Linked DNA regions of Oryctolagus cuniculus. The protein of the gene in region 2 interacts with the protein of the main gene of each other region in a pairwise test. Links are inferred from orthologs where the notes say so. Each region holds a gene or a part of one and is shown on either strand. Other genes may lie near its edges.

Region 1 (4,165 bases), on a different chromosome or scaffold from region 2:
AGCTGCCTGTTTCCGTCCTACCCGGCAGGTGAGATGCACACAGTGAAAGGTGAGATGCACACAGTGAAACCCAGGCTTGCCGAGAGCTTCCTGTCCACAAGTTCCTTCCAAGGAGTTAAGAGTGGGTGGGGGAAGGAAAGTTGGCACACAGGCTCACAGAAATGAGCTAATCCCCCCGCTCAGCGCTTCCAGGAGAGCTACTTCACAGGCAGGGGGGAAGATGGGACAGGCAGCACAAGCAAACGGGGCCTGGGAGGAGGGGCTGGGGGCCTCGGGACGCTGGTCAGGGGGCAGAGCACAGGCAGGAAGGCCCTGGGTACGCGGCACCCACATTGCTGCTGAGGGGCCCAGCCTGCATTCCCACAGGTGCAGCGCAGGGAAGTCGGGGGGCTTGGGGCCAGGGTCTGCGAGTCCAGGAATCCACTGGCCATGGCTAGCAGATTAAACGTTCCCTGGGCTCACGAAGTCTTCTCTACCAGCAGCCATTTCAGAACCGCTGAAACCCACTGGCGGTCTCTCTGGAGTGGCTTCCTTGGCTTCTCAAAACAGGCAGACTGTGCTGGACAGAGCTAAGGTTGTAGAACTTGGGGTGTCATTCTGTTCGCATCTCAAAAATCTGAAAACCTTGCATTTAAAAACATACCACTGGGGCCATTGCTGTGGTAGTGGGCTAAGCCTCCGCCTGCAGTGCCGGCATCCCATATGGGCGCCAGTTCGAGTCCCGGCTGCTCCTTTTCCCATCCAGCTCCCTGCTATGGCCTGGGAAAGCAGTAGAAGATGGCCCAAGTGCTTGGGCCCCTGCACCTGCGTGGGAGACCTGGAAGAAGCTCCTGGCTCCAGCTTCTAATTGGCTCAGCTCCAGCTATTGTGGCCATTTGGGGAGTGAACAGAGGATGGAAGACCTTTTTCTCTGTCGCTCCCTCTCAAATAAATAAATAATAAAATCTTAAAATATATATACCATTTAGGAGCAGGCGTGGCAGAGCAGGTTAAGTGGCCACTTGGGATGCCCACATCCCATCGTCAGAGTACTGGGTCAAGTCCCGCCCCTCCACTTCTGATTCAGCTTGCTGTCAATCATCCTGGGAAGCAATAGATGATGACTCAAGGACTTGGGTCTCTGCTACCCACGTGGGAGACCCAGATGGAGTTCCAGGCTCCTGGCTTCAGCCACCTGGTCCAGACCCGGGCTGCTGTGGGCACTTGGGGAGCAAACCAGCAGATGGAAGACCTCTCTTTCTCCCTCTGTTGCTACGTCTGACTGAGGCTCAGGCAGATGGGATAAGGAGCCTGTCTCAAGGGCAGAAGGGGTTCTTCCCAGCACTGGGATGGGGAAGCAGCTCAGGGAAGGTACGCAGGGCACGTGAGCACGGACACGTGGGGAGTGCTCGGGCTGCCTGTGTCCCGGGGCAGCCCCGTGGGGCCCCGCCCCCGGCCTCACAGGCTCCTGGATCTGTGTTGCCAAGCGGGAGTAGGATGGTCCCACGGCCTCAAACCAGTGCCCCTGAGACATGAAGAGACCAAGAGTGAGAAATGAGAAGCTGCACGTGAGTGTGTGCGCACCGAGAGGTCGCAGACAGAGGGGTCGGGGGGAGCACCCGGAGGACTCTCCTCGGTGGTTGGAGGGGTGGTGGTCGGAGGGGTCGGGGAGCCCAGGGGGACTCTCATCGGTGGTGGTCGTTGGGGTCGGGGAGCCCGGGGGGCTCTCCTCGGTGGTCGGAGGGGTGGGGTGGGGGGCCCCCCAGGGGTACTCTCATGGTGGTCTCTTGGGCGTGCCCTCGCTAGCAGAGAGGCGGATCACGTGGGTGTGAGAAGGCTGGGCTGCCTGAGGGCAGTGCTGCTGCTGGCAGCTGCGGGACACAGCCTGGCTGTACGTGGGCTCCAAGTCCCTTCTCCACCCGGGGCCTCCGTTCCCCGTCCGTGACGTGCGCTTTACAGTTGCAGATCCGAAGCAGGTGCACAAACGAGAGGAGATAAGAAAACTGCTATGTCTTTTAAAGTCTGCGCTGGGAGGTGGAGAAGCCAGGGGAAGGAAGACGGTTAATGGGGGCTCAGGTGCCCGGGTGCGATGTTTTCCCGGGGACCAGAGAAAAAGTGGGGGACAAGGCCAGACTGGAGATGCGCTCCCAGGAGAGCGAGTCCTAGGAGCAGACGGGGGTTGGCTGGGGGTCTCCTACAGAGGGGAGGAGGCCCCTTCCTCGGCAGGGCTCCCCTTCGGACCCAGTGCGGCCGCTCAGCGAGTGGGGCGGGAGGCGGCGGGGCGCACAGCCCAGGACTTGCCCGGGGCTGGGGTTGCCGACCCAGCGTGACTCGCCCTCATTCCAGAACTACACAAGCACCGCCCGAAGCGGACCTCAGAGCGGCCCCAGGGGTCCAAAGACCCGAGAGAGTGCGCACGGTGGGGGGAGGGAGGGGGCTCCGGAGTCCGAGGGAAGAAAATGGGGACCCCGGCCCCCGGCAAGCAGGGGTTCCGGGACCGAGAGACAGGTGTCCCGGAGCGGAGTCGCTCTCGCCCGCCCGCCCCGGCCCCGCGCTCACTGTCCATGCCGGGGAAGGGCAGCGGCTGCGCCCCGAGCTGCTGCTCCACCGCGATCTCCAAGTCGAACTTAATGTGGTCCACGCTAGCGATGATCTCCTGCATGGCGGCGGCGGCGGCCCCCCGGCCCGACTTCCTCTCAGGTCTTTCGCTGCCCTCACTCCTCCACCCGCCGCCGGCCCCAGCCGCACGCAGTCCGCCTCCTCCGCCTCCGCCTCGCCGCCGCCACTGCCGCCACCGCCGCCGCCACCACCGCGCGAGGGATGCCGGGAGCGCCCGAGCCCGCGCCGGTGCTTTTGCACGTCCAGACCCGGCCAATCGAGAGCGGAGGACGACCGCTCTGCCAGGCCCGGCTAGCCGCCCGCCGAACGCAGCGCCTCCCTTCCCCTCGCCTGGCCGGTAAGCCGAAACCCCCGCGCGTGGGAGCTTGCGACGCGGACTGCGCATGGGCGAGGCTCCGCGGGGCGCGTGCTTCTGGCGGAGGGTGACCCACAGGGGAACCGGGCCGGTTCGGCACGCGGGACTGGGCCGCGTGAGGCCGGGTCCCTGGGGCCTGGGGCCCGCGACCCCTACGCTTGGGAGTTCCCATGGGTCCTCACAGCGGCCCGGGGACCCGAGCCTAGGGAGGCCCGGGGGCGTCGGAGGAAACCGGGGTGAGAGGGGGCCGGGGTGACCAGGGGGCCGGGCGAGCGTCTGGGAATGCGGGGTCCGAGGGAGGACGGCGGCCGCGGGGCTCTCAACCCCGGGGGTTTTTAACCTGGGTGCGTTAGTGGACTTGGGTGGGAACAAAATTGCCCTTTTTATTCGTTTTCTCGATGTGAGATCGAGCATTGATTGCATTTAGTTGATTGACAGAGCAGCTGGGGTAGGGCCCGAAACCGTGTCATTTCGAGGGGGGCTGAGGGTCCATGCAGCTCGCTCACGCTGGAAAACCATGGAGGGACACAGAGCATAGTGTAAAATGCCTCTTTCTATATCTAGGTATTGTTTTGCTGATTCTATGTGATTTATTTATTTTTTTCTTTTTTAAGATTTATTTAGTTATTTGAAAGTCAGAGTTACAGAGACAGAGAGAGAGAGAGAGAGGCTTCCATCCGCTGGTTCACTCCCCAATTGGCCGCAACAGCCGGAGCTGTGCTGATCAGAAGCCAGGAGATAAGAGCTTCTTCCAGGTCTCCCACTCAGGTGCAGGGGCCCAAGGACTTCTACTGTTTTCCCAGGCCATAGCAGGGAGCTGGATCAGAAATGGAGCAGCCAGGACTCGAACTGGCGCCCATATGGGATGCTGGCACTGCAGGTGGCAGCTTTACCCGCTATGCCACAGCGCCGGCCCCTATTTTTTTCATTGTTCACGATTTATTTTTGTTTTTCAAATTACTTTTTTTTTTTTTTTGACAGGCAGAGTTAGACAGAGAGAGACAGAGAGAAAGGTCTTCCTTTTCCGTTGGTTCACCCCCCAAATGGCCGCTACGGCCGGCGCACCGCACTGATCCGAAGCCAGGAGCCAGGTGCAGGGCCCAAGGACTTGGGCCATCCTCCACTGCACTCCTGAGCCACAGCAGAGAGCTGGCCTGGAAGAGGGGCCACCAGGACAGAATCCGGTGCCCAGACTGGGACTAGAACCCAGTG
Region 2 (4,188 bases):
TGGGTATGAATATTTAACAAATTTCATAACTATAAACTATGCTAATCCCAATTTTGTGGTTGGGATCAGGGTCAGGAGCTGAGGTGACAACATAAAACTCAGAACTAAATGAAAAGATCTGATACAGCAGCGAATGAAAAGCATAGCCCTTCCTCAGCTGTTCCCGTTTCCACTTCCCACCCAACCCATCCACGGAGGGACACAGTTACATCGGTTTGGTGGGTTCAGTACAGTGCAGCTACCTGATTCCCAAACATCTGCACTGCCCCGACAAGAAATCTCAGGTGTACTGGCAGTCACTGCTGTTCAACCCTCCCCTAAAACCCTGACAGCCACTAGTCCACTAGCTCTAGATCTGCCTATTCTGGACACGTCACATACATGCTGTCCTCTGCCATGGGTCTCCTTCACCTAGCGTGATGTTCTCCAGGTGCATCCGTGCTGCCACGCGCTGCAGTACTTCACTGTCCTGTTCACGGCCCAACAGTATCCCGCTGCATAGACGCTCCACACTTAACCTGTCACTCAACAGTCCTCGAACACTTGGGCTGCTTCCGTTTTGTTTTTTTTTTTAATGTATAATGTGGCTATGATCATTCACGGACAACTTTCTGAGCAGATACGTGTTTTCATTTCTCTAAGGTATAAACCCAGGAGTGGAACGCCTGAGTCATACAGTAACTTGTTTAACCACTGGATGAAACTACCAGTCTATGCTCTGCAGCAGCTGCGCCTCTGACAAGCCTACCAGCAGTGTGCTGGCTGGGGTTTCAGTTTTGACACAGCGTCACCAACACCTGTCTTAGCTCTGATTCCAGCCACCTCAGGCTGTTCAGTGAGATGCTGTCCACTTTCTAAATACAAACATTCTTTAAAGTTCCCATTTTTACCACCCTGTCCTACATTATAGAACACCAGTGCATTCGGCCAGAGTAAAGTCAGCATGAGTTTGCGTGAGTTGTTTTGAAATTTAAATGTCTACAAATGCCACACCTCTCTGATAATTTGACAGACTCAATCTTATAACATGTTAACTTTCAACTTAAATACAAAGCACTGAGGTCATAACAAGGTGCATTAGACTATCAAAAATATTAATAGATTGTAAAAGCAGTAACCTTCAGAGTTCCTCAAAAGTCTTGAGGTTAAAATATCTTCCTTAGTTTGATGACTACACTGTACATTCTGCTACTGAGCTCACTGATGAGTAGTTACTTAATAGTAAAACCTAGTCAAAGTCTAACTTTAAAAACCGTCCTCTGAGCTGCTACCAAATGGAACTGGTCTAAGGGTAGGCCTTGAATTCGGAAGAAAGTCTGAAAGACTCAGCGTCCTCCAAACATTGTCAGGATGCCGATGAAGAACTTTTGACAATTTGTTGATGGACTCACACAACGTGTGTGCAAGATCAACAGGCAATTGCACTAACCTGGTATTCTCTTCTTCTGGCCTTTCAACTTCATTTTCATCTACCAAACAGAATAAATAAGCGAGTAAGTGAAGATCCCACTCTTACAGAAATCAGTCTCATGCAAATCTGAAGTGGTCACAAGCACTAACCTAGGTCCTTTGCCAAGTCACTGTGCACGTGCACGTCCCACGGGCCTACAAACACAGCAGAGTTAGATCACCTTACAATCCCCCAACAAGACACACCTATACGGGACCTCAGACCTCACGGATACAAAGTTACCCATTCACGTTGCAAAGAACTTCACAGTGCCGCACCTTGACAGAGGAGGAATTTTTTTTAAGACGTTTATTCCAGTTACGTCACTGAGGGGCTGCTTGGTGCCCAACGGACACCTTTACTATGTGACGCTGGAAACCATCAAGAATTCACGTTTTAGGAAAGCAAACACCACGAACTTGCAAACCTCGTGGAACAGAAAGGGGCCCTGCGGCTCCACTTAAGTTAAAAAATCCCGATGTCAAGTCACCTTGCAAGAAGCAAGCACAAGAAGCACTAGAGAAAAATAGATTAACGCTGAGAAAGGCAGGCCAAAAAGGGCCACGCGGTGCTTCTACAACGCGAGTTAATGGGTCCCTAGAAAAAAACCACAACGTCACCTGGCACGGGCGACATCAGGGGTTTCTTTCTGGGCCATAACCTGGGTCCCCGAGTCGACTACTGTAAAAGCACGACCCTGCCCGGGAGGCGCGCTGGCAGGTGCATCGCGCCCACGTTAGACGGCAGTGTCTCCGCATCGCCTTCACTCAGCCAGACTTCTCAACGGCTGTGTCCGAGGGGCGGCAGGGCCCACCTGGGACGCCGCAGCGGCCCGCAGCCAGGCCGCCGGCGCGACGCGGGGCCCGGTGCCGCCAGGCCCGCCGCGCTCGGCCTCGGAGCGGCCCTCAGGCCGCGGGGCCGGCGCGCGGGGCCGGGCGGGCCGCCCCCAGGGACCCCCGCCGAGGGACAAGGGACAGGAAGTTCCGTACCGCCATACAGCCACTCCTCCTCCTCATCCCCTCCGGTCCCGCCGCTCAGTTCCGACACAAGGCGGTCCACCTCGCCGGCCGACATGGCCGCCCGGCCGCCCCTTCAAGGCGCCAATCAACAGCCCCCAGCCAACCCCTGCCCCAGCCTCGCTGCCCCGGGGGCGCGAGAAGGGCGCGAACCCGCCAGCGGGCGAGCCAAGGAAACACGAGACGCCAATCCCGGACAGACGGCCGCAGCGGCCGAGGCGGCAAAGGCGAGGACTTCAACACCGGCCGCCTGCGCACGCGCAGCAGCGTCCAAGCGGCGCGGCGTCTCTAGATGGCTACGCTTCCGCGGCCGCGGCCCCCCCCCCGCCTGACTGCGCCTGCGCGCTGCGCGTGGCCCCGCCCTCCCCCACGGCGTCGCGCTCGGTCTTCCGGCGTGGCTTCCGGGCGGGCGGGCGCACTGCGCCGGCGCGGCTCCCCTCCCCCGCCCTGCCTTCGTCTAGGAAGACTTCCTGTTCTCTCCTGTCTGTGATGCTTTGTCTAAAGCTTTGATTTATCTTAAAGGTTTTTGTTTATCAAACTTAATGCGCAGTTACCTGTCGGTCCTCTTCTGCAAAAGAAATCATAATCCGTCCTCCAGAAATTAACGATTAATAGTCTTGAGAAGTTAATTTTAATAGCCATCAAAAGCAAAAGTGATCCATGAATGATGCATTCTTCTTGTTTAAAAAAACAGTAACAACGTGCACATGAGAGAACCTGCTGCACCACCGTCTTTGGAAGTGGGCACTGGGACCTGCTGTGAGCACCCTTCTGAAATTTTCCACACATTTGCTTTACCTGTGTTGCATGGTTTTCAAAGGAGAACTTAAGGGAAATGAGCCTTCGAGGGCCCAGGGCTCATGTGTCATCCTGCTTCCGGGTTTTTCTTGTTTGATTAACCCAATGGCGCCTTGGAGATCAAACTGCCCGCTTAGCAATGCTGCGTGCAGTCCCAAAGCGTGACTATCACACAGTGAATGTGACGTTCACCAGCTGATCTTCCCCTTTTGTCTGTCACCCAGAAGTGAACAGAACCTTACGGTGAAGATCCTTGGGACTTCCTGCAGATGTGCCCGAGTGTTTCTCCAAGACTGTAAACTCTGTGCAGTGCTGTTTTAACCGCTAATGCTAAGTTTCCAGGCTGCTTTCAAGAACACATCTCCCAAGGGAAAGATGCCCCAGTGCGGGTTAGAACTGGAGTTCTAGGTCTCGATGGTGTTTCATTTCATCTTCCCACTTGTTTATGCCACCTCATCGTGTGAGTTTGAGAAATCAACCTTTCTGCACTTTAGTTTTTCTCAAGTAAAAAATGAGAAGCTGAATTAGGTAATCCCCAAGGTCCCTTTTAGTTGTAAAGGTTTGAAATGGGATGTTCACTTGCTAAAAAAAAAAAAAAAGAAAGAAAGAAAGAAAGAAAGAAATCACTTTAATGGTGGCCATGCAGCACGGTGGGTTAAGGAGCTGCTGGGAGTGCCCAGTCCCATGTTAGAGGCTAAGTTCAAGCGCTGACCACTCTGCTTCCATCCAGCATCATGATAGTGTACCTGGAAGGAAGTGGGTGATAGTTCCTGCCACCCACAAGGGAGACACAGGCAGAGTTCCTGGCCTCTGGTTTTTGGCTTCTGCCTTACTCAACCTTGGCTGCTGCAGACATTTGGGGGAAGAAACCACCAGAAGGAAGATCTTTGTCTTCTCTGCCCCCCACCACTCTGCCTTTCACAA
Region 3 (4,257 bases), on a different chromosome or scaffold from region 2:
GCCGCTGCAGCCGGTGCACCGCGCTGATCCGATGGCAGGAGCCAGGAGCCAGGTGCTTTTCCTGGTCTCCCATGGGGTGCAGGGCTCAAGCACCTGGGCCATCCTCCACTGCACTCCCTGGCCATAGCAGAGAGCTGGCCTGGAAGAGGGGCAACCGGGACAGAATCCGGCGCCCCAACCAGGACTAGAACCCGGTGTGCCGGCGCCGCAAGGTGGAGGATTAGCCTATTGAGCCACGGCGCCGGCTCAAAATGTTTGATTTTTTAAAACATCTATTAGAATATTAGTTTATTTTACATAACCAACATTCCTTAAAATTTAACGTGTTTTTTTTTTCTTTTTTTTACTGCTAGCTTGAATGAAATTATGTGTGTAGCCCAGGCAGAAAACAGTGTGCATACATGTATCTCTTCTAATTGGCTGGTATTATACTTGGGTGTCATCAAATAGCTAGGAAAGCATGCTAGTTTCACTAGTTCAGGCACCAAAACTGAGTCCTAGGTGACTGATATTTTTGTGTGCAGTTTCTTTTTTTGTTTTTTACTAAGTGCTTAATTTTATTTATTTAAAAGGTAGAGAGAGACAGAGAGAGAGAGCGAGAGCAAGCTCATGTGCTGGTTCATTCTCCAAATGCCCACAACAGCAGGGCTTTGGACCAGGCAAAGACAGGAGCCAGGAATTCAATCTGGGTCTCCCATGAGGGTGGCAGATATCCCGCTATTTGAGCCATCACCTGCTGCCTCCCAGGGTGCACCACAGCAGAAAGCTGGCATCAGGAGCCAAGCCAGCACCTGAAGCCAGGCACTCCCACGCTGGATGCAGGTGTGCAGAGGACCCCGTGTTCTGACCACCGGAAGTACTCCCTAGACATGTTTCCAGCACCAGCACGGGAACGCCATCTGCAACCCTGTACCTCAACGCTCTTTCAACGGAAGCAGCCCGCTGTGGGGGCCACCTTCAAGGACACAAGTGACGCTCCTGGCTTGTGAGCTGACACTTGTTTCTGTCACATTCACGCTCGTTGGGCACGAGTTCTTACACTGCAGACAAAATTACCTGAGACTCACTCCCGGGGCAGTCACCTGACGTGGCCATAGTTCCCTCGGGCTCTGCCTCATACCTGCTGCCTTTATTATTTCATTTTCTCCTCCTCGTTTCTACTGAGAGAGAGAGGGAGGGGGAGAGGGGGAGAGGGCTGTTACACCGCTTGACAATCAAATCCATTTAACTTCTGAGGCACACTAGAAAGGTCCCCGACCCAAGTGAAACCAACCTACGCGTGCGCCGCGGTGTGGAGATGAAACTCACCCTCAGTTCTACAAGGCCCATCGAAAGCACCACAAGCGGCACAGGCACACGCGCGTCCCGGGCTGGCCCGGGCGCTCCTGGGGTCGCCCTGGGACGGAGCCCCCCGCCTCTCCTCAGCTCCCCCGCGCCTGCCAGCGCCACACTCCTATAGAACGCACGCCTCGCCTACAAACAGGCCTGACCCTACTCTCGTGATTCCTGGAACCGTAACTACTAACTCCGCTGGAAACCTGGGCCCACCTACGACGGCGCGAGGGTGCGGCCCGGATCTGACGCCGGGGCCGAGGCAGCTCTGGGAGAGACCTGACGGGAGGGAGGGAGGGAGCCCCGGGAGCGGCGCGGCCGGCCCGGGCCGAGGGGGCGTGGCGCCGCGAGGGGCGTGCCTGCGGGGAGGGGCGTGCGCCGGGAGGGGCGTGCGCCGGGAGGGGCGTGCCTGCGGGGAGGGGCGTGGCTAGGGCGGAGCTCTGGGAGAGACCTGACGGGAGGGAGGGAGGGAGCCCCGGGAGCGGCGCGGCTGGCCCGGGCCGAGGGGGCGTGGCGCCGCGAGGGGCGTGCCTGAGGGAGGGGCGTGGCTAGGGCGGAGCTCTGGGAGAGACCTGATGGGAGGGAGGGAGGGAGCCCCGGGAGCGGCGCGGCCGGCCCGGGCCGAGGGGGCGTGGCGCCGCGAGGGGCGTGCCTGAGGGAGGGGCGTGCCTGAGGGAGGGGCGTGGCTAGGGCGGAGCTCTGGGAGAGACCTGACGGGAGGGAGGGAGGGAGACCCGGGAGCGGCGCGGCCGGCCCGGGCCGAGGGGGCGTGCGCCGGGAGGGGCGTGCCTGCGGGAGGGGCGTGCGCCATGAGGGGCGTGCCTGCGGGGAGGGGCGTGCGCCGGGAGGGGCGTGCCTGCGGGGAGGGACGTGGCTAGGGCGGAGCTCTGGAAGAGACCTGACGGGAGGGAGGGAGGGAGACCCGGGAGCGGCGCGGCTGGCCCGGGCCGAGGGGGCGTGGCGCCGCGAGGGGCGTAGCTCGGCCAGGGTGGGGCCCCGAAGAGGGGCGGGGCCGCTGGTAGGCGTGGCGCAGGAGAGGGGCGGGGCCCCGGAGAGGGGCGGGGCCTCCGGTGGGCGTGGTGCCGCGTAGGGAAAAGGCGGGGCGTCGGAGAGGGGCGGGGCAACGGGGTGGGGCAGGCGCGGAGCTCGCGGACAGCCGCTACAGCGCAGAGCCGAGGAACCGGGAGGGCGCTCGGGGGTCCCAGGAGGAGACGGAGGCTTCAGTCGGCCAGCGACGCACACGGGGGGCGAGGACCCCCTCACCCTACAAGTCCTGCCTCAAGTGCAGCCCAGCCTCCTACGCTGGGTCCACCAGGACACCTACCTCAGTCGCTTCTCCCCGCCGAGTTGCACATCCACGCCACCAGCACGTAGGGGCTGACGGTTCCCCACCGGGAGCCAGAGCCACCGCCCTCGGCCTGCGCAGGCGCAGTGCGCACGAGCCGCGCCCAGGGGAGGCCCCGCCCCGAGGCGGGGCCATCCTACCGCGCAGGCGCACTCCACAGGCTACGCCTTCTGCGGGGTAGAGCCGAGTTGCGTCGTCAGCCCGTGTGAGGAACCGGCTCCCGTGCCCACAGCCGGCCGGGGCGGGAGTCGGACGCCGGGAACGGGCGCGGGTACGTAGACGGGGGCGGAGGGCTGGGGGTCGGACGCGGTGCGCGGCAGCTGTGGGCAGCGTGTTGCTGGCCCAAGACCCCGATTGGGGTTTTCTTGTGGTAATTCAGGGACCTTCCGTTGTCCGTGTGGACCGGGTCTGGACGCCGGGAGCGCCGCGGTCAAGTAGGGTTTCCCCCGCCAGAAGCCCGGGGTTACCGGAAGGCGGACTGCCGTCCCTGCCCCAGCTGGGAGAGCGGCCCCAGAGCTGTGTGGTCGCACAGGGTGAGACGAATGTATAAAAAACATTCAACTTGAAGGTCTGATTGGGTTTTGTGTGCAATTCTAGATTCAGTCAACACCCTGTTCTAAATGAGCGTTCTAGTGAGCTGAGCAGATGTTAGTTTAATAGACAGAGGGCTGAGGAGAGCAGAAACAGACAAAAGAGGAATTTCCAAGTTACTTTCCTGCCACATCTGGCCTGTCTGGGAATGTGGCCTCTCCCTCCCTGCCTCTGTGCTCTCAGAAGTCAGATAAACATTCTGCTTTCAGCTTGGTGACTTGGACTTGGGGCATCAGTGAGTCCATAATGGTTTGGTCTTTTGGGTCTAGTGCAGGGCAGCCTCCCATAATCTACACAACAACCTAAAATACCAGCCCCTCCCAGCGCACCTGCTGAGGCAGACGCACACCTAATGGTCTGCATCAGCAGCACACAGGCACGGCCCTGGCAGGGGGTCCACAGGGGCTTCTGATGCTTGTGGGCTGGCATGATGGATTGGAAATGAGAAGAGCAAACAGGCAGGTCTTGACCTGCGTGGTAGAGTGAAATCGCACCAGCCTTCTCCCTCAGGAGGCTCGTGCTAAGCCAAAACCTGTCAGTCAGGGCGAGAAAAGCAGTTCTCAATGAGAAGTCCAGGAGTGAAGTCCAGGCTTGGGGTGGGCATTGTGCCCCAGCCAGTTACGCCACCTCCTGCAATGCAGACATCGCATATGAGTGCAGTGCTCTTTTGAGTGCTAGCTGCTCAACCTGCGATCCAGTTCCCTGCTAATGCACTAGAAAAGCAGCAAAAGCTGGCCCAAGTGATTGGGCTCCTGCCAACCACGTGAGACACCCAGATGGAATTCTGGGCTACTGGCTTTGGCCTGGCCCTGCCCTGGCTGCAGTGGCCATTTGCAGAGTGAACCAGCAGATGGAAATCCATGTATTTCTCTCTCTCTCCCCACCCCTCTCTTTCCCGACCCCTCCCCTTTCCTTTCTACCCTCCCTCTCTCTAAAATTGCCTTTCAAATACATTAATAAATCTTTTTTTAAAAGACAACAAAAAAGTC

The links.
Region 1: the proteins of FIP1L1 (region 2) and CPSF4 interact in binary tests that used the Homo sapiens proteins (3 or more experiments, as listed by UniProt). The two-hybrid records come from large-scale screens. The link is inferred for Oryctolagus cuniculus from reciprocal best matches to the Homo sapiens genes FIP1L1 and CPSF4.
Region 3: the proteins of FIP1L1 (region 2) and PRMT2 interact in a two-hybrid assay, tested with the Homo sapiens proteins (2 studies listed by BioGRID and IntAct). The link is inferred for Oryctolagus cuniculus from reciprocal best matches to the Homo sapiens genes FIP1L1 and PRMT2.

The regions. Positions count from the first base shown.
Region 1 is NC_091450.1:41,650,084-41,654,248, reverse strand, and holds the start of CPSF4 (cleavage and polyadenylation specificity factor subunit 4), read right to left. Parts: upstream 2,801-4,165; 5' UTR 2,642-2,800; coding exon 2,539-2,641; intron 1-2,538. UniProt on the Homo sapiens protein: Component of the cleavage and polyadenylation specificity factor (CPSF) complex that play a key role in pre-mRNA 3'-end formation, recognizing the AAUAAA signal sequence and interacting with poly(A) polymerase and other factors to bring about cleavage and poly(A) addition.
Region 2 is NC_091439.1:110,501,602-110,505,789, forward strand, and holds the start of FIP1L1 (pre-mRNA 3'-end-processing factor FIP1), read right to left. Parts: upstream 2,801-4,188; 5' UTR 2,525-2,800; coding exon 2,440-2,524; intron 2,319-2,439; exon of another isoform or gene 2,087-2,318; coding exon of another isoform or gene 2,071-2,086; intron 1,606-2,070; coding exon 1,561-1,605; intron 1,470-1,560; coding exon 1,430-1,469; intron 1-1,429.
Region 3 is NC_091435.1:202,865-207,121, forward strand, and holds the start of PRMT2 (protein arginine N-methyltransferase 2), read right to left. Parts: upstream 2,801-4,257; 5' UTR 2,657-2,800; intron 1,623-2,656; exon of another isoform or gene 1,309-1,622; intron 1,161-1,308; exon of another isoform or gene 1,158-1,160; 5' UTR 1,096-1,157; coding exon 1,057-1,095; intron 1-1,056. UniProt on the Homo sapiens protein: Arginine methyltransferase that methylates the guanidino nitrogens of arginyl residues in proteins such as STAT3, FBL, histone H4. Acts as a coactivator (with NCOA2) of the androgen receptor (AR)-mediated transactivation.